Linked DNA regions of Bombyx mori. The protein of the gene in region 1 purifies or fractionates together with the protein of each later gene. This does not show direct contact. Links are inferred from orthologs where the notes say so. Each region holds a gene or a part of one and is shown in the gene's direction. Other genes may lie near its edges. The genes, in order: ralA-binding protein 1, AP-2 complex subunit sigma and coiled-coil domain-containing protein 6.

What was found.
Region 2: the proteins of ralA-binding protein 1 (region 1) and AP-2 complex subunit sigma purify together in Homo sapiens (co-immunoprecipitation; 3 studies listed by BioGRID and IntAct, counting the BioPlex papers as one, with this or other methods). This does not show direct contact. The link is inferred for Bombyx mori from reciprocal best matches to the Homo sapiens genes RALBP1 and AP2S1.
Region 3: the proteins of ralA-binding protein 1 (region 1) and coiled-coil domain-containing protein 6 purify together in Homo sapiens (affinity purification with mass spectrometry; 3 studies listed by BioGRID and IntAct, counting the BioPlex papers as one, with this or other methods). This does not show direct contact. The link is inferred for Bombyx mori from reciprocal best matches to the Homo sapiens genes RALBP1 and CCDC6.

The regions. Positions count from the first base shown.
Region 1 is NC_085113.1:5,999,167-6,010,840, reverse strand, and holds the start of ralA-binding protein 1, read left to right. Parts: upstream 1-5,390; 5' UTR 5,391-5,888; coding exon 5,889-5,973; intron 5,974-6,194; coding exon 6,195-6,333; intron 6,334-7,867; coding exon 7,868-8,066; intron 8,067-8,206; exon of another isoform or gene 8,207-9,182; coding exon of another isoform or gene 9,183-9,212; intron 9,213-10,319; exon of another isoform or gene 10,320-11,438; coding exon of another isoform or gene 11,439-11,528; intron 11,529-11,674. Other genes in the region: golgin subfamily A member 5, read right to left, coding at 235-510, 1,043-1,256, 1,654-1,848, 2,717-3,140. UniProt on the Homo sapiens protein: Multifunctional protein that functions as a downstream effector of RALA and RALB. As a GTPase-activating protein/GAP can inactivate CDC42 and RAC1 by stimulating their GTPase activity.
Region 2 is NC_085131.1:677,854-689,536, forward strand, and holds AP-2 complex subunit sigma, read left to right. Parts: upstream 1-5,123; 5' UTR 5,124-5,303; coding exon 5,304-5,306; intron 5,307-5,383; coding exon 5,384-5,533; intron 5,534-6,949; coding exon 6,950-7,123; intron 7,124-8,307; coding exon 8,308-8,409; 3' UTR 8,410-9,241; downstream 9,242-11,683. Other genes in the region: hippocampus abundant transcript 1 protein, read right to left, coding at 2,449-3,888; putative phospholipase B-like 2, read right to left, coding at 10,466-10,562, 11,458-11,602. UniProt on the Homo sapiens protein: Component of the adaptor protein complex 2 (AP-2). Adaptor protein complexes function in protein transport via transport vesicles in different membrane traffic pathways.
Region 3 is NC_085128.1:8,920,030-8,930,947, forward strand, and holds part of coiled-coil domain-containing protein 6, read left to right. Parts: intron 1-309; coding exon 310-453; intron 454-2,567; coding exon 2,568-2,707; intron 2,708-4,153; coding exon 4,154-4,231; intron 4,232-5,538; coding exon 5,539-5,746; intron 5,747-7,087; coding exon 7,088-7,201; intron 7,202-8,463; coding exon 8,464-8,601; 3' UTR 8,602-10,918.

The DNA.
Region 1 (11,674 bases):
AATGAAAAACTCAAAATTAAACCATAAAAGGCGTTTTATTCTGTCCGAGACTTGCGAAATCTGAGGAAAATTTGTTCCATTGACTTTAAATTTTGTAATAAGTACTTATCAAGGAACGATAACAATTTAAAATTTTAATACTTTAATCAAGTCCTTGCGAGAATCGCCAGGTTAAAAAACATTACTAAAACGCATTTTTAAGGTTTTAAACTACAACTCAAACATCAGACTCACCTCACACTTTCTAACTGCTCAATCAAAAATTTACTTTCTTCGTTTATATTCAGTCCGTTTTGTAATGATTTAATCTCATCATCTTTGGCGTGTAACATACTTTTCACTCTTACTTTATATGTCTCCCAATCTTTTTCCAATCTGTGGCATTCAGCATTCGACTTGCCTAAATTGTATTGTAATTCAGTTATGGTTGATTGTGCATGCCGTAACTCGGATTCTAATTTTAAATGGGTCGTTTCTTTTTCATTCGTTTTTTCTGTAAGCTCTTTTATCCTGAAAAATTACATAGAAAATAAAAGGGAATTTAAAAAAGTGTTTTGTCTTTGCCAATTTATATGTGCATTTATTGAATAGTATGAAAATATCTATCCCACTCAAGATAAGGTTGGCCACTACACGTGAAGCATTTAAGACAAGGGTTCAAGAACTGTTTCTCAGAGAGTTAGCAGAGTCAACTAATTGATATTTATTTATATATATTTATATTAGTATATATTGATATATATGTATTTATTTAAGTATGAGTATTTGTGTCTATAAATGTTATGTATGTTATATATATGTTTAAGTACCTAATATTCATCTCTGCATCCCCCTAAGGTAGACTGTCAGAGAATGCCCATGGCATTAAGTCCACCTATAAACTGTCAAGTATATAAAGTTATAAAGAAATATCTATAGAATCTGAAAACCACTTAGCACCAGGTCAGTCATGAACTTGCCTATGAATTATAAAATGAAAACAAACATTTTCCCCTGAATATAAACTTTTACTTCTATACCAAATTTGATAATTGATTCAAACCTATCTTCTAATTCAGTATTTTGATCCTTTTGCGCACACAGCTCATTTTCCAAAATCCGAATCCTCTCTTTATGATTAACAACTTCAATGTTCACCAAATCATCCACTTTTCGCTTTATCTGTTCCAGTTGAGCTCTCAATGAATCTTTTTCAGAACTAACATCATTATTTTCTTGCTTAGCCAATTTAATTTCAGTTTGTATACTATTGAATTCTGTAAATTAAGACAGGTTTTAATTTACGAGTATATGGATAAGAACGACATATGGCATATGTCACCAGAATTAATAAATTTCACAACCAGTCTTCAAAACTATAACATATCACTTAATTATGCTATTCTACAAACAATAATTAGTAATACTGTATATCAATTTATAAAAGAATATTGAGAAATAAGCATATTTATTTCACAAACAAATCAATTTCATAAATTTATTATAAATTAAAGTTACAGAATTCACCAATTTAAGACTTGTAAGTCTCTATAATTCAAATAATTGACTACAAAGCATACATACACAATTTCCAATCAATGCAAAAAAAAATTAATTATTCCACACTTTGTAGAACATAAAACAATTAATATGAAGCTGTTTAAATTGAAATACCTGCATGACCATTAGCTACTTTCTCTACTTTATTACCATCCTGTGTTTTGCGGAGTTTCTCAAGCAAATCTGCGACTTCTCTATTCAACACATTGAGTTCATTTTTCAACATCACATTTTCAACTTCCAAATTTTGCATTCTGTACGTCCATTCTTCATCACTTACTATTTCTAGGTCAACTGGCAAACTATGTCCTGAGGACAATGTTTTAATTGGGTTTATAGTTTATCAAAAGGAAATAATGATAATATTGCAGGTATACTATCTTGATTTAGCTCAATACTAAATGAATACATTATATGCATTGTGTACATATAGTAAGAAGCAGAGACCATGACTTCTTCATGACTTTTCAACCAAATTCTTTAAGTCATTAATGTTTCATTTATTGTGAAGGCCTATTATGTATTTTTCTAACACGTATGGAGCTTATGACTTATGCTGATTTAAAAAATATTAAACAGCAAATATGAAACAGTTAATCAATATTTTTAAACACTAAGAAACAAGAAAATAATACTTTGTCTAATTAACATGGACAAATGCTATTAATTCTAGTCTTGATGGGATTAATAAAGTAGCTTCCTATATCAATTTTTGCCTGATTTTAATGCACAACCATTCTTAAGCAAAACACTGCTGGTTCAATTTAGACCACCAGTCTACCAAGCAATATCACCCACTCTGTGGAAGATCATCCATTGTTTACTGGTGGTAGAACTTCTTGTGTCCGCAAGTGTAGGTACCACCACCCTGCCTATTTCTGCCAAGAAGCAGTAATGCATTTTGGTTTGAAGGTCAGGGCAGCCATTGTACCATTAAAAGTGTGAGACCTTAGAACTCATGTTTCAAGGTGGGTGGCAGCATTTACATTGTAGATGTCTATGGGCTCCTGTAATCACTTAGCACCAGGTGGACCGTGAGCTCGTCCACCAACCTAACCTATAAAAAAATTAAAAATAAGAAAAAAATTTTATTTATTTATTTTATTGTCACCAGCATCTCCAACTATTTTTAATTGCAGAAACTTGCAACCAACGTTAACAAATTTAAAATACTTACTTCTTTGCCTCAAACCAAAATGGTCAGTATTGCTACCTTTAGTATCACAGACTAATGTATCAGGACAGTTGTCCAAGGTATACTGGTTAGATTTTTTTAAGGGTTTCTTCGTTTTTACAACTCCATTTCTTACTGGCTCTTGATTGCCTTTTACAGGAGATTTATTCAAATTCTGTATAGGAGAAATCTTTCGAGCAGGAGTGTAATTTGAACGTGGCTCGGGAACGGGTGAAATTTTCTTTAAATTTCGTGGTATTGGCCTTTTTCTTTGGTTCCAGGAAGGGTCTGGATGTAAGATAAAATCGGAGTTTTCTTGTTTACGTGCCTTCACAACATTGTGATTGCGTAGGGCTGCTCCTGTTTGCTCGTCTAAATTATTAAGAAGTGTCTCAGCTTTTCCAGCTAAGTCCGCAAACCAAGCCATTTTAATTTATTTTTTGAAAGCCTGAAAATTTTTCTGCACAGTAAATTATTAATAATCTTAATTCGAAGCGATGATTACATAATTATTATATTTTTAATTACAAAACAGAGACTGATCGAGATTTATGTACCCAAATTTTGCGCAGTTTTACACGTCTCGTTTTTAGTGATAATTTATGAAGAACATAAACAGTCATGACGATCACAACTGTAGTGTGTTTAATAAGTAAATTTTGTATTGTTTATAAAATCCATAATACTGTTTAAGTAAGCTGTGTTAAAATTAAATTTTATCAGAAAACAATTTAGAGCATTATTTAGACACGTAAAACTTAATGTCAATTTGATCTTTTCGTTTTTTCGCACATGAGAGCAAAGGTAACTTGCCCAATCGCATCAATTGCAACACGCATCAATTGCATGTGAATACTAGCTTTTGCCCGCGACTTCGTTAGCGTGGAGTAGTTACTTTGGCATAACGCTAAATTATACCCACCTCTTCATTTAAGTAGAAAGTGAAAATATTTTTGAATAATAGAAAATGTTAAAGAGCTATTTAAAGTACCAAAATCACGCTTTTTAACCGACTTCAAACGAGGAAGTTATCAATTCGACCATAATTTTTTATCTATGTATGTTCACCGATTTCTCGAGAATGCTTGAACCAATTCTGATAATTCTTTTTTCTTTTTTTGTTCGAAAGGGTATACTTCCCGAATGGTCCTGTATTCATCAAGATTTAATGATAGGATCCTGGAAAAATCTAGAAAAATCTATAATTGTCAAAGCCTATCTTGAAGTGATTTGGGTGTTTCAATGTTGTAATGAATAACATATTTGTTTGGATAGGGATTAATATAATCTTTATAAAAACACCTTCACAAATAATGCTTTATTTTAGAAGAAACTTGATTAGCATAAAAAACGTAATAGTGAGCCAACCTTTAAATATACACATATGCTGTTACGGAATTTTTTTTTAACTTTTAAAAGAGAACACTTTTGTCATACATTATTTTAGCGTAACTTTAACCATTTCCGCAGCGCATGCAGCAGAACCTCTCAAAAGGGAAAATACCACGATTTAGAAGCATTCTTTATTGCTGCTCCGCTTGCATTGGTCTTAGCGTGATGTTATATAGCCTATAGCCTTCCTCGATTAATGAGCTATCTGACACGGGTTTTTTTTTTTTTTTTTTTTGTTGCTTAGATGTGTGGACGAGCTCACAGCCCACCTGGTGTTAAGTGGTTACTGGAGCCCATAGACATCTACAACGTAAATGCGCCACACACCTTGAGATATAGTTCTAAGGTCTCAGTATAGTCACAACGGCTGCCCCACCCTTTAAACCGAAACGCATTACTGCTTCACGGCAGAAATAGGCGGGGCGGTGGTTACTTACCCGTGCGGACTCACAAGAGGTCCTACCACCAGTAATTACGCAAATTATAATTTTGCGGGTTTGATTTTTATTGCACGATGTTATTCCTTCACCGTGGAAGTCAATCGTGAACATTTGTTGAGTACGTATTTCATTAGAAAAATTTGTACCCGCCAGCGAGATTCGAACACCAGTGCATCGCTCGATACGAATGCACTGGACGTCTTATCCTTTAGGCCACGACGACTTCATAAAAAATTTCTCGCCGGATCTTCTCAGTGGGTCGCGTTTCCGATCCGGTGGTAGATTCTGCGATGCACGGCTCTTGCTAGGGTTCGTGTTAGCAACGTCGTCAGGTTTGAGCCCCGTAAGCTCATCTGCTAGTTAAGGTTACGCCGATATAGCCTCTCAAGGCTCTCAGCTTAGGTAGGAAAAAAAAGATCGATTTATTCGACACTCGTAACTATTTGATAAGATTATAAGGATAAATTCTAAGACGGAAGTTAAAATATTATTTTACGCTGCTCTGTTAAGTTTGTTACCGAAAATACCATTGTTCAAACATTTTATCAGGTATGTTTAGGTACAGTGCATGGATAATACACTGAATATTTAATATTTACATTATTTTATTTAAGACGGGTTAATTTTTATATAACTTACTTTCTCTCTGTTTAAAAAACCTGAAAAGTTCTAAGAAGATAATATTATTTTAATGGTTACATTACTTCCTTGAGACTGTGTGGGCTACGTTCCCTTTACCTGTCGAACTGAACAAAATAAACGAAAATATTTATTTTTTTTAAGAGATTTTATGACCTGGTAACTAAGACCTTTAAGTCATGTCTTATTTTACTTTATTTTCTTAATTTTATGAAAAATGATAATATGGAGTGAAATGAAATGAAGATGATTAATTTGAGACATTAATCAACTGGGATGAAATTTAATGAAATGAGATGATATGGGATGAAATATAATCGCAGTAAAATGGTGGTCATTTACTGAGATTTTTTCAGTGGACTTTTTGGAGGAACCCGAGAAGTTACGTCCAGCAGCTTTGTTTCATTTTCCCACATTTGTGCACTTTCACAGATATTAAACAGTTAATAAACCACCATTATTACACATTTAAACCTGAAGAAACACTAAATAGACAAAATAAAACAAATCACACAACTTCACTCCTCGCGTTCCCGCCAAAAAGTCCAACGAAATTATGTGTTTGTTTGTGTAGTGCATAGATTATACACATAAGTGTAGTGTATTATATATTGGTATTTTGTAATAATTTATAAAAATATAATAATAAACGAAAATATGTACAAATAAACGACTTATTAAAACAAAGTGACATACCAATAAAAATGGATTTTGAAAGTCCAGATGTTGAAAAGGATTTCCCCGGTTTATACGCTTCAGAAAGTGGACGTAAAAGCAATGAAAGTGACTGTAAGTATTATCTGTTTTTGTACACAATTTACCCAAAATTGTGAAGCACAAATCCCTACTATTACGAAGTTTTTAAACTAAATCAAATGAAAAGGATATTTTTACAATAACAAGGTAAAAATCTTTAACTCAATAACATAAGTGTCTATTTCTTTTAGTCGGTTTTATTAAATTGCGAATAATCGAAACTTGTTGATACATATTTATTTTTTAAATTATAGTTAGCGATGGTGCAGAACACGAAAAACCAAGTAAGAAAGACTTGCTAGGACGCAGGAAAGAGAAGAAAGAATCTAAAAAAGATAGAGGTTATGCAGCACTGGAAGGAGAGAGTTCACCTGAAGAAGACACTGATACTAAGTTAGTGCATTAGAAATGTAACTTAAAATTCAATTTTCACACTCAGTTGTGAAGTCCTGGTTTCAAACAAATGAAACACATTAGAATAATATGAACAGCTTCGAGAATCTAATGACAAAATGCCAGTGCATACCTTGTTACTAATGCTGCCAAATTCCTTATCCTTCCTTATCTATATACTCCAGTAGTTCCCGAGTAATATACTTTTTAAGATTAGATTGATTTTATGAGTAAATGTGTGCAGCAATATCTTGTAGTGTCTAAAAAGTTAAATAGTCAACAGGTGGGCTGTGATAATATGATTTGTTTAAATCTGTAGAAAATAAAAAAGTCAATGTTTGACTGTGCTTCATCGTCTTTGTAGGAGAATCCTTTTTTTTTTTTGCTTAGGTGTACGGACGATCTCACAGCCCACCTGGTGTTAAGTGGTTACTGGAACCCATAGACATTTACAACGTAAATGCGCCACCGACCTTGAGATATAAGTTCTTAGATCTCAGTATAGTTACAACGGCTGCCCTACCCTTCAAACCGAAACCCATTACTGCTTCACGGCAGAAATAGGCAGGGCGGTGGTACCTACCCGTGCGGGCTCACAAGAGGTCCTACCACCAGTAATATAATTCTCGCATAATGCACTTGTATGACCACATATAACATGTTATGTACAAATTTAATATACATAGAAATACAATACAATATAACCAATGTTTTTACAATTCTAAAACTAGGAACACAAATTTAATAAACAAATTATACTTTATTTTGTAACAACACAATTGACACACTTATTACAGGTGGTAGAACCTCTTGTGAGTTTGCACGGATAGGTACCACCGCCCTGGTTATATCTGCTGCTAAGCAGTAATGCACATAACACCAGGTGGGCTTTGAGCTTGTCTACATTTCTATGCAATAAAAAAAAAGGGCAATGGTACTTGAAATTAATTATGATGTAATGAATCATATGATAATGTAGAGTAAATATTATAATGTACAAATCATTATAAATTTCACAGGACTGAAATATAATATGTGAAATCCCCAGGTTATATGCTGGAATACCCGTGTTATAAGAGAGACTGAAATCACCTATTTTAAGAGTATGTGTTATAAGGGGATTACTGTATTATGACATAAATTATTGACTATGGTAAAAATAGTCACGAATACACATATACATGCATAACAAACTGTAGTAAAATACTTAATTAAAGTCTTCTTATGACATCAATGACCTGATTGCTAGGCCTGGTCAGTCATACTCCATACTTTATGTCTAATTATCATCTTTTAATAAATTGTTGATGGAAAGGCCCCCTGAGTTGCACAATATATTGACAGACCTTGGAAAGCCACATCATTTTCATTACCACAGGCTCCATTAACCAGTCAACAAGATATGGGACGTCAACTTGAATAACTATTTATATTAACCATAAAATTGTTAATAATATAACAATAACAGAGCATTTGTTCTGTATATATATTCTGCGTGAGTATTTATGATAATAATATCTATTTAATCCAACAGAAGTCCATCGAAATCTAAGAAGACAAAGTCATTCAAGTTCCCAACCAAAAGCAAAGAAAAGCGTGAAAAATCCCGAGATAAAGAAAAAGTTTTAGAAGAAACAGTTAAACATAAAGAAGTAACAGAAAAAGATAAGAAAAAAGAAAAGGAAAGGGAGAAAGAGAAGAAGGAAAAGGAGAAAAAGAAAGAAAAAGATAAGGTAATAATATAAATTTTAATGCGTAACAATATGGTTTTAATACACGGTAATAATGCTGTTTGACCCTTCCAACCATGACTTGACCATCTTGACAACTTCCAGAAACTAACTAACTTTCTATAAGCATAACATGACTGTCAAACGTTAGTTGACATGGACCACTCATGGCTAATTTAATTGTGAGTAATCACCCTGGCTCATTGGCGTTCTACTGAGGACCCTCGTCAACCATAAAGAAGGACATGTTGTCAGTATTAGAAGAAAACTTAGTGAATATTCATACCGAAAAATAAAGTGAAAAAGACATGAATAGCTCAGTTATTTATATTTTTATTCCAATCTATTTAAGATACAGTAGTAGTGCAGGTTAATGATATCAGTAGATATTATCCACGCTACTGATTTACAGCCATTGCATCAAACAGAATAGACCTTGATGGCACAAACAGAAATTTCCCTGAATTGCCAATGATCGTATTATGTTTCAACTCACATAGACTAATGTTTGTGAACGCATAAAAATAAAATTTTAATATTAAGTCTCTTTAATTTGCCAAGAAGCCCACCTTATGCGTAGTTTTTAGCATCCCATATTGACTTATCAACACCAGGTACACAGGCAAACCGCTGACCTTCGAATTCAGTCTTGACTTTAAACTAGTCTTCAATCTGCACAAAATGGCTAAATAATATCCTTTATATTTGCAACATGCATCGAAATACCGTGACTCATTACTCTAAAATAATTCGTTACCACCTTATTGCCAAAAGGGATAATAAACTCATAATTATCCGACTTTAAAAAAAAATATGTATATTTATTTGTACAATATGAAATGACTTTATATTGAGAGTACCATTCACTTTATTTGTTATTCAAATATTCAATCTTATTTACTCAATACTAAATGTTTCATTTTCGCGCTTCAGCGCTTGATACCTTTTTGCATAATTTTGCGGTTGCCTTTATACGCTGGCCAATTTGCGTTGACACTTGGTTAGCGAGACCGTCATTAGTACACGTGGGTCTATGAAAATTATAAAGGTTGTAGGTGTTCGGCCTTGGATGGATGTGGTCGTGTCATGGTTTATTCAGTTGTATCTTGAAATCGCGTCATGCATCACCTACGTAGCGTGTTTACGAAGGTACAAAATCGATTGTTAAACAAACTTTTGTGTGTTACGCGGAAATTTTATTAATGTTTTATTTACTTCATGTTTTTAATATTCTAATAAAGATATCGAAATTAGTGCTACATAAAATGAATAAAAATGAAAACGTAAACAGACAGTAAAATGAATTTATAAATCAACTGTCGGTGCATTTATTGAAAAATATTAAAGTCCGTCATTGGTGTTTGAAAGTGAAATATGTGTAGTACTTACCTACTTAAAAACTTAACTTGATAAGTTAAATTTAATTAATATCAGTGTTAAAAATATTGCACAGTTAATTAAATCAAATCAAAAAAAATCAAAAAAAAATTTATTCAACATAAATGAAAGTACATACTTGTTGAACGTCAAATATCGGTAATGTTTTCGAAAAGACATTTGTGTCCTAGAACAATATCCGCGGAAAATTTGTGTAGTTACCTGCATTTTATTTTATCGTAACACAAGATTATCAGTGAACAAACAAGTTTTAAACAAACAAGATATATATTTAGTCTAATGTCCGGTGTTTTAATGTATGTCATCATAATGTGACTTCAGAATTTTGTTTGCAATAACAAATAATATTTCGCAATTATTTCGTAAAGCTACGCTCACTCAAGTAAAATGAAAATCAATTCTGGTTGTTGTTTATTGAATTATTGTTTACTGGTGGTAGGACCTCTTGTGAGTCCGCACGGGTAGGTACCACCGCCCCGCCTATTTCTGCCGTGAAGCAGTAATGCGTTTCGGTTTGAAGGGTGGGGCAGCCGTTGTGACTATACTGAGACCTTAAAACTATATCTCAAGGTGTGTGGCGCATTTACGTTGTAGGTGTCTATGGGCTCCAGTAACCACTTAACACCAGGTGGGCTGTGAGCTCGTCCACACATCTAAGCAATAAAAAAAAAAAAAAAAAAAAAAAATTAAATTAAAAAAAATAACAAGTAGAAAACCAAAACCGAAAGAAATGCATTTGTTTGATATATGTACAGACGACTGCACAAGTACATGGACACCACCTTAAGGTCTATATTCGCTTGAACACGCCGTTTCTCTTTTTCCGTTTTGGTTTGAATCTGTCCGTGCACCTTTGCTGGGTATAGTACATAATATGTGTTCGTGTTTCCATTTTGGCGAAATTGCAAATATCTTTCAAACTAATATATCATCTACTGACGACTCCCAACAGGCTCCAAACGGCGTCTTTGTTAATATTATATGTACGTCAGTTTGAGATGATCCCCTCATCTCCTTTTTATCATCGCACATCCCGCCATCGGAGCAGAGTTCATCCATATCATCTGGAACCGCTGCGTTCATCGACAGTGCGTTTCCAGAGGTATTTTTTGCCACGTACCACCCGGCTATGGAATGAGCTCCCCTCCACGGTGTTTCCTGAGCGCTATGACATGTCCTTCTGTAAAAGAGGCTTGTGGAGAGTATTAAGCGGTAGGCAGCGGCTTGGCTCTACGCCTGGCATTGCTGAAGTCCATGGGCGACGGTAACCACTCACCATCAGGTGGGCCGTATGCTCGTCTGCCTACAAGGGCAATAAAATAAAATAAAATAAAAACGTTAGGTCCACATTACCAGAGTTGACTTTCAGTGAAATCGAATGGCTTAACGATACGGGTCTCGTCTCGAATCCGCGATCTCGCGATCGATTGGAACGCAAAATGCAATTGAGTCGCGTGTGCGTTTAAATATAGGCCGTCGACAACCCAATCCAGTAACAGACCAAGTTATTTATTTTAGGTGAGATTTGAGTATGTCAGAACCAGATGTTAATCCAGACCAAACTAGGTCACCTATTTAACGTTTATATGATTATGTACTATTTAGTTGAACGTAAAACGCATATATGTGAAGACTATCGCGGCTTAGATAAATGAGCTAAACCTTGATTGAAGAATTTCTTTTATCTCGCCTTGTATCTTGTATGCGTTGCACATATTTATCTGTTTGTTGTTTACAGTTTACAAAACGTCGTATCTATACAAACATACAAATCGACGCTTGAAATGCAAACGTGACTAAGCGACAATAGCTGCTTTGTACATAAATGATAGGCAATAACCATATTCGATGCGCAAAAAAATATATATTTCTAGGTCTATTAAAATCATTTCAATCCTACAGCTAGATTATAGCCTACAGCTAAGTATATTTTAAATTGATTTCAACTTTAAATTAGTCTACTGTAAAGTTCACGCAATGCCGCTTAGTCACGTTTGCCTTTCAAGCGTCGATATGTATGTAAATATAGTTGTAATCTTCGAAGTGTGTTTAATATCTTTACGCACGGTACGTAGAAAACTGAAAATACATTAATTTCACCTTACTGTTTCGTGAAGTATATAATAACTATGATCTTAATACCTAAAGTAGTTAGTACACAAATCAAATATTGACATCTCCCGTTCTGTGGTATTTTCCTCCCAAAGTTTTAT
Region 2 (11,683 bases), on another chromosome or scaffold:
CACAACATGTTCCAGAACATGAAGTCAACATTTGTCTCCACGTATTCTTTTAAACCTAAATATGTATCACAGGTATAAAACGTAGGGTAGCGCAGTAATAAGGTTACGCACAAGAAATGTCCGGCCCGACTCAGACTATTTCGACTAAGATTTCCAGGATTGTTGTTAGCAATAAAACCAGCTTAAGTTTTTAAACGAGACGAGCCACCAGAAATAATACGATTTAATAATTTTAAGGCTTTTTTTGTATACGTTGGATCGGGCATAGTTCTACCACCAAGAGACGCAAATATTATTGATGTTTAAACTATCATGCCTCGATATTTTTTATTGTCTCGCGTTTGAATGCTTAGTTCCAATTAACAGTTGAAATAACCGGATTAATAAGAATAACCTATTATTTAAATACAAACGCGGTATTCGTGTCTACGTATCGTCGTGCAAGCCATTCTAGGTAGTGCGTCTAAGTTCTAGGCCTGTCATTATTAGGGGAGCTAGGAGTGACCGCTAATTGAATATAATAACGTAGACTCAACAGTATTGTTACTGCAAACCAGGTCGGTCGTGACCCTCGGATTTGATGAAGCTACATATTGTATTGGATACACAAGTGAATACAACAATATGCATAGTTGCAGTGATTCTATTGAAATATAATTAAAATTTTACATAAATAATATGCATAAATACAGAATAATTGCGAATCTTTTGTTTTCCGTGTTGGTTCATACAAATTATTTATTCGAATGTAAGCAACCATCCATTCTTAAAATTTATCTGATTATAATTATGTGTATTATTTCCGAACGTGTTTTTGGCTTACATAAATACACGTACATGCTTACATTATGACATCATTAATTTGTAATTAATTGCAAACTGAAAATATTTGAACAATTTTTTATTTATTAAAAAGTTAATTTTTAGTTATTTCTAACTCCGATTAGAACAAAACAGATAATGATAGATGGAGAATTTGTAAGCATGCTGTTTTGGGCCCTCCATTGATCAGAGCCTCAACGAGGGCCCATATCTGTAACCCAAAGGTCAAGACTACCTTAAGTTAGTACACCAAGGAAGTTAATATGTTTTTTGTTTTATCAGTCTTTTGTAACCACAAAACTGTATTTGAAAAGTCGAGAAAAATATTTTATTATTATTCTTGTTTAAAAAAAGTTAAGATACTGAATACTAATTTATATTATTTATATTTGAAAACTTAAATGTATTATGATAATGAGCCACTAAGGTTTTGAAAACGATTACATTTCAGAGGGTATGAAGTCAAACATATCTTTAACATTACAGTAAATGCTTAATATATTTTAGCCGTTAAAGATAGTGACTCCAGTGTGTTATGGAGCCTATATATTGCAATCAGACACTAACGTCTGATGGGGTGTGATGAAAGATATTTGGGTGATGACATTATCCAGACAATGGCTACTTGTATACCATTGTTAGCTTTGAGAAATAATATATTTTTCATATTAGTGTATGTCATATTTCTGGTTTGCTATAGAAAAACTATTCTGTTCAATTTTGCACACATGACATGATATTTTTTTACAATCAATAATAGTTTTTAGAAGCTAATCTTATTAATTTCTTTACTCTCTTTTATTATTTAAAAAAGTTCATGGCCACAAAATAATATAGAAGCAAGGTTTAAAATTAAATATTTCTCATCCTATGAAAATGTAAGAGAATGTGCAATACCTACACAATTTTATTTTTAAAAGTATCACTCAAGCCTGCCATAATTTATTTTTGTAAATGTTAGTTATAATCACAACCAGAACCAAAAACATTTTTTACCGGTAACTTCAACACAAAAACAATAAAGACAACACAATAGTCACAAAATTTAACACAATCACATTTTAAAATATAGCTTTTTATTTATCAACTATTAATTACTTACTTTTACACATAATAAAATACTAAATTGGACAGGACATATCATACAGAAGATTGTGTTTTTCTTTACCTTACGATACTAAATTTATATGCTTTGCATATAATTTAAATTATCACACCGTGCACCATATACGACAATGGCATGACAATTTAAATAATGTTCAACCACTGTGGACATACAACACCTTAAATAATGTTTACCAGCTCTGAGCGTTACTCATTTTGACACAAATACTTAAAGTTAATAAATACTTCAGCTTCTAATCATGTGATGCTCAGCTCATAATCATAAATGCTCAAATTTTATGAGTGACTTAAACTATTCACATGTTTTTAAGTTCACTTTCATTTATTTTATTAACTCATATAAAGCTTAGGAAACACGCAACAGACTAAGCTGATCAACTCTCTACCGTAACGTAGGAGCCCTGCAATATGTCGAGGTTGGTAAAGAAACACTCACAGGAGTTCACTCACAGGAGCGTCGGCGAGTTACACGCTGGCGGCGCGCCCCGCCTGGACCGCCGGCTAGAGTGCTGCTGATTCGGGCGCCATGAGCGGAGACAGAGGGCCAGCAACACGCCGCCCACGCTCCATCTCGAATCGGAGATCGGCTGGTGCACGTCTTCCATTTGAATCCTCCTCAGGTAAGAAAGCGGTCACCAGCAATGCACAAATGACGAGTAATGCACCCAAAACGAATGGTGGCCCAGGAACCAGTAATGCATGCCTCTCTTCAGGAATCCTACCAGTTTTGTTATGACCTTCATTTAAATCTACATGGAAGAGATAGAAGATTACTCCAAACATGGCTGGACCCAGGCCATTACAAAGTCCACGGACTCCAGTTACCATGCCTTGTACAACTCCCTGTCGGTCTGCACGGCTGTTTACTGACACATAAGCACTGATCGCTGGGTATGTGATGGAACCAAGTGCGGCTAACACACCGGCAGCCCACATCATCCACGTACGACTGCCAAATCCATACCACATCAATTGCAGCATCTCAAACAATAGTCCCACCATTATTGTGTGTTTTGCTCCCAGAGACTTCATCAAAAATCCAAGAATAACTTGCACTCCGATGCTCAAAACACCAACAATAGCAATAAATATGGCCACTTGCACTACACCAAAACCCATCACTAGTTTCAAGTAAACAAATATGCATGAGTACTGTCCAGCTTCAGGCAGATAGGAGAGGAATACTGCCACACATAGCATGAGCACAGTGCGCTCAGCACCAACTTTCCTCAGTGCAGCAAAAGGATCTGCTTGTTCCCAGCTGATGACAGGGCCCCAGCCGGTTGGTCTCACTTTCTCTGGGAGGCTCTCAGGCACCGCGACCATAATAAAGAACACGTCCAGTACAGCAACAGCGGTAGCGGCAGCCACGACGAGGGACTCTCCATACAAATCCATAAGGTAGGCACCCAAAGCGGGTGATATGACTAGACTAGCCGCAAACGTAGCGGAGACGAGGCCGTACGCGCGAGACCGCTCCGCTTCGGTCGTCACGTCAGCCACGTACGCGAACACTATCGAAAACGTGACCGCGAACACTCCGCTGATGCTGATCATCGCGAAGAACCACCAGGTATTGATAGTCATGAGCGGGATCGGGGCACATGTGAAGAATACCGTCACCAACAGAAAGAACTTGCGGCCCCACACGTCCGACAGGGCTCCGATGAGTGGCGCGGAGAGGAAAGACAGTATGCCCTTGATTCCCATGATCAATCCGTTCATCAGGAACGTGTGGTCGGGAAAGGTCGCGTTCAGTACCGATATTATCGGCATAGTGAGCAAGCCCCACGCGAAAAACTCCAAAAAAATAACGACCAGAGCGTGAAAAACAGAAGGCTCGCCGATTCCAGACATTGTCATTATCCCGTCTTTCATAACTGTTTTTCTGTTCCGTATCACCATTTCTACTTCGGTTTTAGTGGTCTTCGTGGGCGTCATTTAAGATGTATTCCGTTTAAATAAATAGATGTTACTTAAATTACGGACATTTTGAGAAAACCTTAAGCTCTACATTGGTAAAACTAGATATGAACGAGCAAGTTGTAGCAACGTCAAAATTTTACTGGAAAATTGAAAAACAATTCGATAATTTTGTTGCTAGAGTAAAAAAATTTAAAGAACGGTCGAAAAAATACAATAATAGGCGTAGCCTGGACAGATTAGAGAAGATAAATGAAACATAATTTACTGGTGGTAGGGCGTCTTGTGAGCCCGCACTAACTATTTCTACCGTGAAGCAATAATGAATTTCGGCTTGAAGAGTGGGACAGCCGTTGTATTGTAAAAACTGATTTCAAACTCATGTCTTAAGGTGGGTGGCGGCATTTGAGTTGTTGAAGTTTACGGGCTCCGGTAACCGTTTAACACTAGGTGGGCTGTGAACGCAGCTATCCAACGAAGTAATTAAAAAAAAATGAAAAGTTGATACTCCGAAATATTTCGTGGGTAATGCCTTAATTCATCTTCAAATCTTCTAGGAAAATAATACTTTATCCTCGAAGTAATTTGATCGATCTGAATATTGCATGCAATCCACATTTTAGCGCATGTCTAGTTATTTATAAGGCTTAACTCTATTTTTATACAGTTTATATATGTACAGATTTTTAGTAAATATTGCAATTGTGATTGACTGATATTTTTTTATTTAATACCAATACGTTTCAATTCCTCAAGAACGGGCTTCATTGACCGATTAGTTCATATCTATTAAAGTCTACAAAATAAAAAGTTTTTTTGCCACTAGTTCCAAAAGCTACCAGTAGAAACTCGACACTTTTACGTTGGAGAAGTTACATAGACATATATCTTCTCGTGATGTAATTTTCTTTGAATAAAAGTTTAAAAAACATTGCGCAAATATATCTAAATTAAAATGTAAATGCAACTACCAAATTTTTTACTTAATAGCTTATTCTTTGCTATCAATTGCTTACTGTGATTACGTACCAAGTAGTACTCAAGATAGTCCTCCATAATAGTCAATAAAATAAAAAGTTCGTACAGAACAAAGAGAATATCTCAAAGTAATAAAATACAACTAAATTCAAGATTATCAAGGTTTTCCCTTTCATTTAAATGTAGTAGGTATCTGGTTAGTCTATCTACGATTTCTTGACATTTTTCACACTGCTGCTAGTATGATTATAGATAATACACATAGTATTTGAGAAGTATGATGGTAGCATAGATAATACCGTGCACTGAATGGGAGAAGGTTGAATTTTGTAGCTGTCAAAGTTGAAATCACTGAATTTCAGATAAAGATTTCTGATTACTAGTTTTAAAAAAAGGAGGCGTCAACCCGTCTTTGAAAGTAATATTTAAAAAAAAAGCCATAACTAAACGTGAAAATGGTATACTTATCTCATAAAAAAATATTATTTAGTTCATTACTTGCGTGTAATAATTAAAAATTATTCTAAATTCCCAGATAAGATTCATTTTGATCCAGAACCGAGCAGGCAAGACTCGACTTGCGAAATGGTATATGAATTTTGATGATGACGAAAAACAGAAGTTGATAGAAGAAGTGCATGCAGTCGTCACCGTCAGAGACGCGAAACACACGAACTTTGTCGAGGTAACTTTATAAAGCCTATTTTATCATTAATGACCGCCTAAAGCTTTCTGTCTGCTATAACTCCTTGAAGATATCCTTGGTCACTTGGAAACAATACAGATTAAATCATACTAATCAATATAAGACTACATGAAAGAGTATAGTTAAAGTAATATTAAATGTATAATTGCATTGAGTGTGCACAGGAGTCACTAGGGTCAATTACGTTCCTCCCTGAGATGGTTAATAATATAATCAAAAACAGCTTTTTTTACTGCTTGAAGTGGTTGGAACAGTTCCCTTGCATGCTACACATGCTAAAAAGTAGCAAGCTGAGAATCTTTGAGAACTTCTTTTTCATTTGTATTCTGTACAGTAATTGTTGTTTTGTTGAAAATATTTGGAAACTCTTGACTATAAGTTTGCATCAAAATTGCTGGTATTCCTCAACATTGAGAAGCAATACTTCATGCCTGGATACATAATTTTTCTTTACAACACCCTAAGTCTGGTCTGGTGTGGAGTACTGCTCCTATCTTTGAGCTGAGTCTCCCAAATATCAGCTATGTCCATTGACTACATACAGAAGAAGGCTGTTTGGATTGACGATAATCCCAGTCTGACCGCTTGGAAAACAGGCACTGTGGGGGAACTACAGTTGTCCTTGTTTTATACTGTGCATTCCATGGGAGTACAATGAGGAATAGTTTGAATATTTTCCCAAATATCATCTAACTTTGGAATTAACTTCTCTTCTCAGTGTTGCTTGAGTGCTGTAACATCTTTCTCAGTACTCAGCTATAGGCAGTGAATTGGTTGTGATCCTGGCATTGTATCCATGTCAATGAGTAACAGTAACCACTAACCATCAGGTGGGCTGTCTATCAGCCTATAAATAAAAATTGAAAAAATTACCTATAAGATGCTACAATGTTTGTTTAAAAATAATCTAATGTCTACCACTTACTCTTTCTATTTAATTTTCATATTGCTGTTAACTGTGTTGGTGTCAACTATTCAATTTATTATTTTCAATACACATTTTGAAGCTGCTATTACACCTGTCAGATATCTATCTATACAAGAGTGCTATTATGTCAGTAACATACAGGATTTAATTATTTCTATACTGTTTTGGGTATAACATAACACCCTTTAATCAACCGAAAACATTTTTTGTTGTTCTAGTGGGTTTATATTTTGTCAAAGATGTGTTACATATATTACATTGCAAAATATTAGTTATCCTGTGAGGAGTTCCTAATACTTCTGTCTGTCTTGGTTTTGAGAATTCTTATATATTTAATATCAATATAATACCTATCAATAGCTTAATAATTTTATTGAATATTAAACTATTCATATGAAATTCATACAATACAACAATATCTCTTTTCTACAGTATAGATATACAAAGATATGTTATTCTGTTTACAGTTCAGAAATTTCAAGATAGTATACAGGAGGTATGCAGGTCTGTACTTCTGTATATGTGTCGATGTAAATGATAACAATTTGTGTTATCTCGAGGCCATACATAACTTTGTCGAGGTCCTAAATGAATATTTCCATAATGTTTGCGAGTTGGACTTGGTCTTCAATTTTTATAAAGTAAGTGGAAATACATAAACTGTTATATTTAATGTGGACATTCTTAAAACTGCTGTCAATTATTTTGTGTTATATTTAATAGATAAAAGAAAGAAATTTTTAAAATCAAGATGGGTTGTTAATACATTTCAAGTGGCTTATGTTATAAGTACCTATTTTTGACAAGGTTGATTGGGGTAAAGTGGTCATCAAAGGGTACATTTTGCATGTTTTGATATGTTTAAAGCTAAATTCGATTCTGTTCGTATTTTGTAGTTGTAAAGTTGATAAAAATTTCTTTGAGCAAATTGTAATTGATTAGATCATCCCTCGTGTTTGCCACACACGCCTTCGGCTCGGGTGGCAATTTTACACGCGGGAGGAAATGCCCTACTTTTCTCCCTTGGTGCACAATGTACTATTTTTCCTACCAGGCCGAAAGTTCGACATTGTAAAAAACTTAGCACCCGTGGAGTACCGAACCGAGTTCCAGGGCCGAGGCCCTGGCGAGAGGGTGGGGGGGCGGAGCCCCCCACTCATAAAAAAAACAATTCCTGTTTTTTATTTTTTAAATAAACTACTACTAATTGAATAAGAACTGTCTGATGAACTCATCTTTGCTTAATACTTCACTATTAAATTTTATTGCCTTTTGTTTATTTCACTTTTACACTAAACACAATATTGCAAATTACCCGAGCACAACAATGGCGAAGAATTTTAGGTGCGTGAGAGCAGACGTAGACACTAACGCACATGCGCACTTGTCAGTACCCAGGGAGGAAAAGTTACACTTTCTTCCCTGTACAGCGGGAGGAAAACCGAACTTTCGGCGTAGGTAGGAGAAAAAAATAGTATGTGCACTGCAGGAAAAAAGTAGGACATCTCATCTCGCGTGTTTGCCATTGCAATGGCATGCCAATTTTACACGCGGGAGGAAATGTCCAACTTTTCTCCCTTGGTGCACAATGTACTATTAAATTCACCAAAACATGGGAGTATGTGATGAGCTGATGCTAACGTTGTCTTTTTTTCGTTTCACTGTAGAAATAGGTGCCACCCCATAGAGTCTTATATATCTCTCTCGTACCTTACTTTATTTCGAACTAGATGACCCGGCGAACTTTGTTTATTTTTTTTATTTTTTTTTTTTTTTTACTTTATTTCGAATTAAGTTTAACAATAAACTGTATGTCTTCTTTCAGGTGTATACGGTTGTAGACGAAATGTTTTTGGCTGGTGAGATCAGGGAGACATCCCAAACTAAAGTGCTCAAACAACTCTTGATGCTGAACTCCTTAGAATAAGTATTTGTGTTATTCTTAGTATATAATATGTTCTTGTAAGCTTATGTTATTTTGTTTTATAAATTTTAATCAGCTTTTATTTTACATAGATACCGAATAACTTGTGAGTTAACGTAAAAGTAATGTACATTTTTTGTATCGATAACAAGTTTTATAAGTAAAAAACGATTGAAATCATTTTTCACATGCCTCTTCTGTGCACTTATTTCAGCAAGTTCAGTGGTGAGTACTGTATGGTGAGGCGACGTCTGGTCATTCACCAACGTAGCAACATTGACAGCACCTTCATTAAATCTGTTACATACAACAATAAACGGTATTCTTCGATTTGTAGATTGATTTGTTTTTAAAATTATTGGCTCTACCAGGATGTGTATAGTCGTCCAGCCTGGCTACGCTGCAAAGCAGTCCTGCATTCCAGTGTGAAAGCAATTGAAATGTCGACCATGTTTCAGAGGCTTGCTAGAGATCATGTGGTTAATATATAAAATCCCAGGTATATTTAATCCAAGATATTTCAAAAAATGTGTATTCAAAATTAATAATTGTTAAAGAAATCTTTAAAATATACTGTTCATATTAAGATTTCAAATGTTTTAATGTTATTTTGTATATATGTGCGTAAATATCAAATGGCTTTCTGAATTTAAGATCTGATTATTTATCACGACTTTATACTTAAAAAGCTTCAATGAAATTTTTATTAGAGCAATGTACATAATATAGCAACACTCGTTTTTAACATTATTTTATCAGTGTTGTCATTGTGAATATAATTTATACACTACCTACTTTACTTTGTCATTCCTTAAAATATATAGAATGGTTTAAATTATTGTTTTATTGGTTTTGTTTTTTATTTTCCTCCGCTCGACCGGTCTCCGGCGTGAAGCCGTTTGGCCATAGGCCAGGAATGGGCTGGTTACGATAAAAATTAGTGGAAATGTCAAGTTAGTAGATAATATGAGATATTTGAGTACCCTAACTTTAACGAAATTACAAGCTTGAAATTACTTGAAGTTGTTTTTTTTCCTACCCGTTTACTGGTAGCCTAAGGGGAGAGTCACACCGGAATGGCAGCGGCCAGCAGCGTCGCGGCGAGCACTTTCAGTGTGAAATAATTTTAAACTTTGTCTGTATACTTAAAAGACCAGTATCGCTTGAAAAGCTCGCGACACAGCCGCCGCTCGCCCACGGTGAAGCGAACACCCGCGCGCCACGTGTGTCTTGTCGGACGTTCTGCCAGCGGCGACACGAGGCCGCTCGCGACACCACAGTCATATATAATGACCAATTCCATCATGTTAACTACAAACACACGAGTATCATTGCCGAATGAAGAAACTAAACTAGTCAAGAGGAGACTAGGCGCGTGCAGTCTGGAGGCCGCGCGAGGCCGCCAGCGGCGACGCAGGCCACTGCCATTCCGGTGTGACTCGGCCCTAAGGGGCTATACCAGCTACGCCCTGGACAGGTAGGTGAGCTCACGGGCTCAACCTGAGAGAATTTGGTAACACTGGCCAGCAAGAGCAGTGCTTCGCAGATTCTACCACCGGATCGGAATCGCGACCCATTGAGATGATTCAGCGAGAAACTCAGTGCGTTGTGTCTGTGGATAAAGTTCTGTGTCAAAATTATTACACAGATTATGAAAATCCGGTCGATGCACGAGCAGGAATATTTTGTGTTATTGGAATCGCTTGCATCACTTCGAGATCTAATATAGAGTTACCCGTATATCAATACGGCACGATCACCACTGCCGGTGACCAAATAAAACAATACAGTCAAAATCTATGTTTATTAAATTAAAAAAAATACAAAACATTGATTATTCCTAACGATTTAATAAAGTTATAATAGACATACAGTTCTAAAGTGCTATGTTACTGATTTTAAAAATATTATGTTTATTATTAAATAATGTTTATTATTGTTATTAAACATTCATCTTATGCCATATAGATATAGAGTTTAATTTAGAGTGCGCTTTCAACGAAAACATGTATGTATATTCAGAATACAAGCAGCTCGTTACTGTTGACTGTTCGTGAGACTATCCCCACTCCCAGCGGTGGAGCAAGGGTGGGAACATCCACACATCGGGGTGGCCCACGTGAGATATCTGCGGACCCATGTCGAACTTACTCCAACTGAAATCAACAATTTTGTTAATAATCGAATATGTGCCTCAAATTCACAAATTACTTCAACGAAGAAGAAGAAATAAATAATAGTTTAAAAAAACTAACAAAATACGCTTTTATAGAAAATCCAACTAAATAATAGAATATAAATTTGAATAAATTTGAATTAAAAATAGTGTAAGAAAAGATGATTTTATTGAAAAAAAGGGTTGGGTGCTTTTCAGGATATTATCAAAATAACCCTTGTACTCATATCTGTTCATAAAATATTTATAATAATTATTTTTAAATTACTTATTTCTCATTTTTTAGTTGAATTTCAATTTTTTTAATATTTTTTTTTCATTTTTTTTTTAAATATTGAGTTGTCATCGGTCCTTAATAAGTTTACAAAATTTCGTTTTGAAGGGGGTCAAAAGCATGTTCAAAGATTCCGTTATATACTAACATAATAACATACATACATACATTAAAGAGCCCGCAGTTTTTATTTATTTTCGTAATAATTGGAGGTCCGGTATGTTCGAAGGGCGCGCTGGCCGATCTGTGTGCTTAGTGCAAGTTTTTTAACGTTCTCGATAGCGTAAAAGTTAACTTAAATTTTTATGCAATTGAAACAGCGCCCCTAACGACAAACGTACGCAAACTTTTCAACTCCAACAAACTTGAGTTAACTTTTACGCTATCGAAAACGTTAAAAAAACTCGCACTAAGCACACTTAACTGTTACACCCGTCTCAAGACGTGAGATCAATGTCTCAATTGTATTACTTAATGGTTGTGCCTTCTTTCAAACCGCAATGATTAATCATCATCACGGGCTATAGCCGTGCGGGCTGGCAGTGTGTCCTCCCCCAGTAAGGGCAAGGGAAGGGCGGGGTCGAGAGCATGGTATACTCACACGAAGGGCGGCACCCCCCTGGACAAGTTGTAGGTGGGGCTCGACACGGCTATGAACTGGTAAGTCTTCCTGAGCAGCGAGCTCGTGATCTTCGCGTCGGTGGCTCCGTGACTGCGATGTCCTAAGGCTCTGAACGGGTACGTACCTGGAGGAACATTAGGCACCAACATTACTTATTTCAATCCGTCAACAATAATTTCTCAATCGGTCTTTTAAAAACCATACC
Region 3 (10,918 bases), on another chromosome or scaffold:
TGTTTCCAGGCAGTACTGATGAACTTGGCTGGTGATACAATAATTTAAAAGATTACCAAATAGAATAAAACAGAAAGAACCAACATTTGGATTGTAAATTATTTAACTTATTATTATCAGTAATTGATGCTCTTTTTGTTAGCATTTATACTTGAAAATAAGAAACCTACAATAATTAGATTAGGACTACTTTTGTGAGTTAATATCACATGTCTTTATTCTTACCAAATTTGAATTGTTTTTAATTCATTTCACCGGGAGAATTATCGAGATAGATGTTCAAGTGTACTAGTATCTAAAATATTTCAGTTGAGACAAGAAAAGTGTCGTCTTGAACAAACATTGGAACAAGAGCAGGAATGTTTGGTAAATAAATTGATGAGAAAAATAGAAAAACTTGAGGCTGAGACTCTTGCAAAGCAAACGAATTTGGAAAGACTGCGTAGAGAAAAGGTAACATGATAATAAAATATGATAGTTTAGTGGTTTTATTCAATAAGTAGTATAAGAAGTATTGCTCAACAAACCGAATGGACATGCAAATATCTATATATTAATACGTGAAGCAAAAACGTTGTATCCCTTTTTACTAAACTTGCGCGGTCGGAGGAGTGTGAAATTTTCCACACTTATAGAGAATATAGAGAAGAAGTGCACAATGGTAATATTTTTTTTAATAATGCGTAAATGATACATTAAATCAATAAAGAAAACATTACACACACTACATACCATGTATTTGACGCCCACACGCATGTATACTATTTATTGTCAAACTTTTGTTCTTGACGTCTGTTGTCAAATTGAGATTAAATGTTGTTGTTGATAAATTTGTTAATATTTTTTATAATGTAGTCTTGGCGAAATTTGTGATTATCTAATATATAAAATTCTCGTGTCACAGTTTTCGTTGCCATACTCCTCCGAAACGGCTTGACCGATTTTGATGAAATTTTTTGTGCTTATCCAGTATCTATGAGGATCGGCCAACATCTATTTTTCATCCCCCTAAATGTTAGGGGTAGTCCACCCCTAAATTTTATTTGTTATTTTTTAAACAAAAATTTTTGTTTTTATTTTTTTATGATACAACATACAAAAATACATACAACCCTAAATTTTCACCCCTCTACAATCAACCCTTATTTTTTATTTGCTAATTAAAAACTTTAAAATTTTTTGCGAGAATTTCGTTTTTATTTTGTCATGACGTAGAATAAAAAAATTCATATTACTCTGAAATTTTCACCCCTCTACGATCAACCCCTATTTTTTATTTGTTAATTATAAACTTTAATTTTTTTGGCAAGATTTTCATTTTTATTTTTATTTTGTCATGAATTAAAATAAAAAATCTGATGTTACTCTCAATTTTTCATCCCTCTATGATCAACCCCTATTTTTTATTTGTTAATTATAAACTTTAATTTTTTTGACAAGTTTTTTATTTTGTTTTGTAATGACTTAAAATAAAAAAATCACATTACTCTCAATTTTCACTCTTATACGATCAACCCCTATTTTTCCATCCCGATTAATATTTTTTTATATTCTATGCACAGATCGGCAATAGGGTTGCAAGATGGCAATCAAATATTATAATTGTAGGACGATAAATTCTTATTCAGAGTTTATAATTTCAAGTTCCTTTAATTATGTTTTTTTTTTAATTGAATTTGATCTCCCGCCCTCGCCGGTCTACTACTAATCAACTATCAATCGATCCCCGCCAGGAGTCACCACTCATCCAGCAAACATCACGTAGTAGGGATGAGGACGAAGCCGGTCTCCTGTCCTACTTACTCACTATACATCATAGATTATACACTTAATATATTTGAGAGCTATACAATACTATACATTTTTCAGCCATGTTTTTTTGGTTTTATTTGTGTATCAATAGTATGTTCAGTAGGTCTGAGAATCGGCTACTATCTATTTTTCATACCACTAAGTGAAACGGGTTGTCCACCCCAAACATTTATTTTTTATTTTAATTTTTTGGATATATTTTTTTTGTTTATAATGAGGTATTATGTGGTTAAATGAGGTTTTTTTTTCTACAGTAGAATTTCCCTAGAAATCTTATTTAAGGCAACACAACGTTTGCCGGGTCAGCTAGTAGAAGTATAAAATACAATCATAATAGTGTACAAACTTACAATTCCAATTAATTATAGTCGAATTTCGACTACTGCGGGACCTCTAGTTATTGTTAATTCTACAGCACAAAACCTCTAATTAATGAATTAGCAAGAAAGGTCGAGTTTGAAGTGTCTAGTTGTGTAGTCAGTCTTATATCAAATGTGAAATTAGTCTGCATTTACTGATTAGACTATTGAAACACAACTATCACTAATACCTTTTTGATGCCATCAATTACCATTAGACATCCTTTAAATTCCTGCTTCACAACTTTATGTTGATGTTGTGTTGGAGCCTAGCCCTGAGTTACGTACCTTTGTGCACCATTTTACGTTTTATGTATGGAATATTGCTTAGAAAAATTATTTTGCTCAAGAAGATTAACATAAACTTAAACATTAATTCTCAACAAAATATTCCAGGTTGAATTAGAGAATACATTAGAACAAGAGCAAGAAGCGCTTGTGAATAGACTTTGGAAGCGAATGGACAAGCTAGAGGCTGAAAAACGTTCGCTGCAGATAAGATTGGATCAACCAGTTTCCGATCCCGCAAGTCCTAGGTGAAAATCTTGATATAATTATAAACAGACATGCATTGTATTTTACAAAGTTTCTTGACTAAAAAAACTTTAATCGTTTAATTATATGTCTTACAATTTCAATGCTTCGAATACATATATTTACTGTTTTCTTATATGACCAAATTTTTTTTGTCAACATTTGCATTTATTCGTTGTGCCAATTAGTACCTAATATGTATTATACCATTTTAAACAAAAAGAAGTCGAAGCGTTAAACGTATCTGATATTTTCGAAACAAGCCAAATCGCCTCCAATATATATATCTCATTAAAATGGCAACCTGATTTGTAGCTATAGCCCGTTATAGATTGAGATCAGCACCAATACAACTACAAATGCTCACTAATACTGAACAAATTATGTATTAGCGACGACTGAACATTTCTTAATTTTCCACAAAAGAACATCTCTATTGTAACTACAACTAAAACAGTTAAAACCAAGGGATATCAAAATTAAATATCCTAAGGCGAATTTTTTTTTGTAGTTAACTTTAGTAGTGTTCATTTGGCTATACTTTTGTCATAGAAAGGTTGACTCAATATTGTCCCACCTACATTTTTCATCTATCAGGCAGGATGGTAGAATCAGTAAAGCCCAATATTATATGAGTTAGGTAAAAGCAATAAAGAGAAACATTATGCTTAGTGCTGCAGTCGAATGTTCATGACCCTTATCTACCCTCTTACTGAGAGTACAGGGTATAAGGTAACCATGTAGCTGAACAGTTATTATGATATTGCTTCTGAACAGATTTGTTGATTCACTACATTCTTCGTAGTGTAGCCGCATTACAATAGTATTGTGATTTCCACCTTCTAAATCGATCTGGCTGACCAGATCTATGGGCATCATCCACTTTTCGTGAGAAAGCAATCTGAAGCTTGTTAACATTACATAATCTGTGTTACGTGCCGTAAAATATGTTTTGGAAATTTATACCTATTTAATCTTTTGCATACAATGAACCAAAAATGTTTGAGTTTAGTTTATTTATTGAACTTAGGATTTTTCTTTAAAAAGTTCCAATTTCTTTAAAAAGTTCCAAGTGTTAATTGAAACAACCGAAAAATTGTATATCAAAATGAACTGGATATTAAACAATTAAAGTGTTTTTTAAATTGTTTATTAATTTGATTTACTTTGCATGATTGATTGCCTTTCAATCATAACTTGAATTATAATAATACAATACAATAAAAGCTTCATATTTTATTATTTCTTTATTTATTTATTTATTAGCTTATTCAATTAAATATACCCAATAATTTTGCTTTAAAGTAAACCATATTATTATTTGTTTTGAATTAACATAATGCATAGAGATTGTATCTATATTTGTTCACTGTATATTATATCACATCTTTTTGTTTATGTGTAATTAAACATGTTTGTCACGATTAATGAATGCATATTCTTGCTAGGGACATTAGTAATGGTGACACAGCATCTAATCTCAGCAATCACATCCAGACCCTTCGTTCTGAGGTCGTCAAATTAAGGTAAAAATTTCATTTACATTCATCAAAATGTTATCTAATTAGCACGTAACTTATGCAGGCGCTGTAACTTTATAACACCATTAGCCCGAGTTATTGTATAATGGCTTAGGTCGTATCATAAGCCGTCGCGAATGGGTACCATTATTCTACATGTTTGTTTCGGTCTGAAGGATAAGGTAGCCTTGTTATAACAGTATTGCGATTTCCACTTTTATTTCGATGTGGCCGACAGCTTTCATTGTCTATGGACTTCTGTCCAACGAAACACGAGATGGACGGTGAGATCAGCAGTCCGTCAATACAAAAAAAAAAACTTTTAAACATGACGCTATCATATTTAAAGGTCATAGACATAGTCTTTAAGTTACTTCATAATTTTATTCATATTTTCGAGCCGTGTCAACGCAATTTTACTAAAAGCATATGGTGTTTTTGTTGATAGGTGTTAAAAATCTCGTAAATCTATTCAGTGCCGATTGTCATAGTTGAAAAACCATAGATCAATGTACTGACCATCTTTTACACAATTTGGCATAACATGAGTTCGAGCATTTTTCCTCGCAGGTTTAATATAATAAGCGTGAAAATAAAACGCAATTCTCGAAAAAAATGAAAAGAATAAAAGCAAGGCTTCGTTTCGTCTTCCATTTTTACAGCTTGAATGTCTTTACTATTATAATTTTTTTTCAAAATACAATGGAATAGATTTTCATTTATATCCGTTTATCAAATTTACACTAAAATGACGCTGTACTACTATTGTGTTCATACATCTAAACCTCACGTGCGATTACTTCAATTCAGTATAGAAATTATTCGTACGCGCTAAATGAGTTTTAAACTCGATTTTTTTATATTGCGTATAATAGTGAAAGCTCTCCCGGCCCACCTGATATTCAGCTGTTATCGGAGACTGTAAACATCACAATGTGAATGCCGCCACCCGACTACATATGAAACCGAAGTCTCAATTGTTTAGTGTAACGGATGACCCATCCTTAAAAACGGACCTCGTGCACTGTTTCGCGGCAGAGATAGATACAGCGGCGGTACGTACCCGCGCGAGCTTACATTACGCCTTGTCACCAGTAGTAAATGACATAAAAACTAGTTTTATATAAGTGAAGGTAAAGGTTTCGATATTAATACTGCCAGTTCTTTTTCCGCAATATATCCATAAAATCACTGCCGGCTCTATCTATAGAGGTTTTAGTTATTCAGCCTTAGTTATTTATGCTCTGTTTTTCTGTGAGCACACAAACTGCATTAAAACCTGTAATAATGTGTACGTTATCTTAAATTTACAGAAATCAGTTGGCGGTGTCACAGAATGAAAATAAAGAGAAGATGCATCGGTTTGCTTTAGAAGAAAAACACATTAGGGAAGAAAATATGCGTTTGCAAAGGAAACTCCAGCAAGAGGTGGAACGCCGCGAGGCGCTATGTCGCCATCTGTCCGAGAGCGAGTCTTCGCTGGAGATGGAAGAAGAAAGGCAATTTAATGAAACTTTCGGTGTGAGTTCGTCGTTCATTATTATTATTATTATTATTATTGCAAGTGGACTTTTTGACGGGAACACGAGGAGTGAAGTTTTGTGATTTGTTTTATTTTGTCTATTTAGTGTTTCTTCAGGTTTAAATGTGTAATAATGGTGGTTTATTAACTGTTTAGTATCCGGGAAAGTGCACAAATGTGCGAAAATGAAACAAAGCTGCAGAACGTAACATCTCTGGATCCTCCAAAAAGTCCACTGAAAAAGTCTCAGTAAATGACCACCATTTTACTGAGATTATATTTCATCCCATATCATCTCATCTCATTTCATTTCATTTCATGCCATGTTTCATATTAATCAATTTCATTTCATTTCATAATATAATTTTTCACGTATAAAAGTTTTCATTAAAATTAAAATAAGACTTGAAATAAGGTTTTAGCTACCAGGTCATAAAATCCCTTAATTTTTTTTATTGCAAGTGCAAGTTTATGCAAGACACATTTTTAATAAATTCATCATGGTATCCTAACGGTAACTGCGACTTCGTTCGTGAGTATTTTTTTATCCAGTGGTAATAAAATGATATAACGGAACCAAATATTCGAACGTGTGATACCGCGCCCGCCGCCGCCTTACCCCCAGCTGAAACAGAGATCTCTGAGCCAGAAAGCACGTGCCCTAGGCGCGCGCAACGACGACCGGCAAAATATTGTAAATCTTATCTTTTCTCAACTCAGTTTGTTTTATTTTAGTTATTGTGTCGCTTTTCTATTAAAACCTCATACACCTCAATGTTAACATCATTTCCATATCTTCTTCGCAAAAACCCCCAAACACCAAACACTCAAAAACTCAAAAGCCCAGCCAGTCGGACTTTTAGTGTTAAAATGTAGCAAAAAATATAATGAAAAAATTATAGTTTAAAAATAATTTTAAATTTTAAAGTTTCGGTATTTAATCTATACATATAAATAAAATTAGAGTGTCTGTTTGTAGTATTGAAATTAATTTTTTAGTAGAAGTAATTTTAATTAAATTAAATTAGAAGTAATTTTTGTCTGTCTGTCTCTCTGTCTGTCTGTTTGTTCCGGCTAATCTCTGAAACGGCTGCAGCGATTTTGACGGGACTTTCACTGACAGGTAGCTGATGATATAAGGAGTAACTAAGGCTACTTTTTTTAGAATAGCATCGCCCCGCGGCCTCACCCGCAGTTATTGTCGTACCGCGCGCAACATGGCGGGCTTCGCCTATCAATAATGCAATTTAATGTTTCCGAAGCAAAGCGAGGGCGGGTCGCTAGTTTGTTAAATACAACGCAAGTTGACTAGCCCGTTGAACGTTGGGTTTACAATACAGGCGCGGTCACGCAGCGTGTCGTCGCCGGGCGGGTCGCGCCCGCTGTCGCCATACGCCTCCCCCCTGCTACCGAGCGGGGCCGGTTTGCGCCCGGGACTACACCTCAATGCACAGGTATGTAAGCACCGTTTACAAAAAAATAACATCACATCGTAGGTAATAATTTACTGGTGGTAGGACCATAGATAATACACATAAATTAGTCTGTGGTTTTAGAAGTCGTCGTGGCCTAAAGGATAAGACGTCCGTTGCATTCGTGTCTAGCGATGCGACGGAGTGTGAATCCCGCAGGCGGGTACCAATTTTTCTGATGAAATAAGTACTTGACAAATGTTCATGATTGACTTCCACGGTGAAGGAATAACATCGTGTAATAAAAATCAAACCCGCAAAATTATTGTAACTATACTGAGACCTTAGAACTTATAACTCAGGTTGGGTGGCGCATTTATGTTGTAGATGTCTATGGGCTCCAGTTATCACTTAACACCAGGTGGGCTGTGAGCTCGTCCACCCATTTAAGCAGTAAAATAAAATTTAAAAAGGTTATAGATAAGCAACTCGAGCACTCAACCAAAATGTTTACGGGCGTCGACCACTAGATGGCTTCGCTTCGATTAGTTTCTCATTCCTCCTGTAGATGACAGTAACATTTACCTATCCTATATTTTATTTTTAATGAAGGATGTTGTAAATTTTCAAAAATCACAAATTTTAATCAATTTGTCTATAATAAACAAAGACTTACATGATTTTTATTTTTTTTACTTTCTGTGTTTAGTTATACATTAATTAAATGCCTTAACTTTAACAACATATAAGCTTAGGGGCATCCGCTACAAGACATCGCTAGTTTCCCTACAAAAAAAAATTGTCTTAAAGTATTGCAGTTTCAAGGCCCTGGGGGTAGCACCTCTTGTGAGTCCGCACGGGCTACTGGTGGTAGGACCTCTTATGAGTCCGCACGAGTAGGTACCACCACCCTGCCTATTTCAACCGTGAAGCATTAATGCGTTTCGGTTTGAAGAGTGGGGCAGCCGTTGTACTGAGACCTTAGAAACGCATTACTGCTTCACGGCAAAAATAGGCGGGATGTTGGTACCTACCCGTGCGGACTCACAAGAGGTCCTACCACCAGTGATTACGCAAATTATAATTTTGCGGGTTTCATTTTTATTACACGATGTTATTCCTTAACCGTGGAAATCAATCGCGAACATTTGTCAAGTACGTATTTCATCAGAAAAATTGGTACCTGCCTGAGATTCGAACACCGGTGCATCACTCAACACGAACGCACCGGACGTCTTATCCGTTAGGCCACGACGACTTCAAAATTATATGTATTAGTGACATAACAAATTTACGTGGCACAGGGTCGTCGTCCGAGCGACAGGTTCGTGAAGCCCGCGGTGCCGGCGGGCGCGCCGCTGCCGGGGCGGGAGGCGGGGGGGCCGGCGCCGCCCTCGCTACTCCAGCCCGCCAGTCCCATGGACACCTCCTCGAAAGACTAAACGCGCCGTATGATGCGGGACCTCACGCGTCTACAAACGCGAAGAAACCACAATCCTCCTCGAGCCTGATTCCTACCGCGTTGTCCCGCCTCGCTTCGACCTCGATTGATATTGATCGCGATGAACGTAAACTCATTTGCTGACTTGTGACGTTTCGAACAGCGCTGCCCGTTTGAAGGCGCGAATTTAAATTGCTCACTGCCCGCGTCGATCGCGAATCCGCTATATATTTACATATTTCTTTGAAAGTACATATACGTTGTTCGTTTAAACTTCTTCTTCTTAGTCGCGTTTCGAATTTATAAATTTGTATTGAAATATAAATCGAATAAAAATATGAAACGTCAATTTCCCATTTATTAATTCGCTTGGAGCTTTATTATTATACCCTATGAATGACAAAATTCTGATTTCAGAATATATGTATAATCCATTTTTGTGTAAAATTTGTCAATTTTTATGCGTTGGCCACGATTGGTGAAATTATTCAAAAACGATAATTTGTAATAAAAAATACACGTGATGAAGACTCCATGGTCGCCTTTTTTTCAATGGAAATGTTGATAAATTATTAGAACTGTTCGTAATTTATGAAATACACTTAATAAATAAAAATAAAGAGATTTTACGGTATTGCTTTCTAAAACATGATTGCTTCTGAGACACGTAGCTTAATTAAGGTTATAAGGCAGCTTAGAGTATTTTGGGCGGAAAAATTTAAAATTACATTAAAATGTAATTTAATATATCAGTTTCTGTTTTAAATTGTAAATAAAAGACTATCATGTTAATTAAAATCCACCACTGAATACTGAGGTATTGGAGTAGTCTTCATTAACTTTGACACATTATAACGGACAGTGTAGTAAAAAAAATCGGTCAAATATAAATTAAGTAGTGTTAAATTGCAGACGATGTAACATACAACATAATAAAAATGACCTGAAGCGCGAGATCCATGGTTCAGATACAGGACATACTCCGACATGTATTGTAAATATCCATACTAATCAATGTATATAACGCGAAAGTGAGTTGGTTTGTTTGTTACGCTTTCACCTCTTAAGTACGCAACCAATTATCATTACATTCGGCATATGTGTAAGGTTACAGAAAAGGGCACAGTTATCTATCATCTAGAAAAAAAATATTAATGGAGACACGGGTAAAAGCTAGTAATTAAATATTCATGATCTAATAGTGATAATTGGAATGAAGTTTCTTAATTCAGCTTGCTCTTGGAGTTGATAAAAATCGTTACGTAAGAGAAAAACGTTACGGCCCGCCGTGTGACTTTCTGTCCCCTTCTATCTCTATCCCTTTCTATTTTGCACTTGTTTGTGCTTGCTAGTATCGAGGTCGGAGCAGACGAGCATTATGCACGGCCGATTGTATATGTACCCTCAATATTAAATTTGATATTTCGTTGTTGCAAATTTAAAATCTCTTATGTGAAATTTTGCGCCAAAAATAAATTATCATATAATTATTGTGAAAGCTATTCTTTGCTGAGTATAGGTAATACTCAGCAAAAACTTAAATGTGCATATCACAATATTTCACTTTATTACGCGTCAATCTTAAAAAAACCCTAAGTGTTAGTTTGCATTTTATTGTAGATCAAAGTATTCTAATATATGTGCTAAAAATATTGCATTTTTTTTTCAGTAGGTAGTTTTATTAGATTTTCTCGAAAACTACATTTATACACATAAGAGATTTCAAATTTGCAAACGACGATTTGTTTTATTTAAATATAAATTCAGTACTGTATGAAACATTATCAATTAATATTTAACCTAAAAAATATTATATGTTTTTTTTTATTAAGAATACATTATGATAATAAAGATTTTCGTTCCGGAAAAGGGTCTTCGAACTCCACCCTTTTATTTATTTATTTATTAACATAAATCGCCTGGACTTGCTAAGTTTTGTTCTTTTCATTACATACACATTTTGGTTTTTCTATATTTGAACGAAATGAAACAAAGTTGATTAGTATGAAATTAATTATGGAATGAGTGAGATGGGATGTTATGAAATAAACTCCCAGTAAAATGATTAAAATACGATGGACTCGTTTGAAGAACCCAAGAAGCCACATTTTCCGGTTTGTTTCATATTAACTGCACTTATGTATTTTCAGAGATATTAAACGGTTAATAAGACACAAATATTAAATGATAAATAATAATAAAAAAATAAATTGGCAACATAATATAATTCACAGAACTTTGTTGGTTAGCTGGATAGCCTTGAGGCTATTTCAGCGTAACCTTAACTAGTAGGTGAGCTCACGGGGCTTAAAACTGAC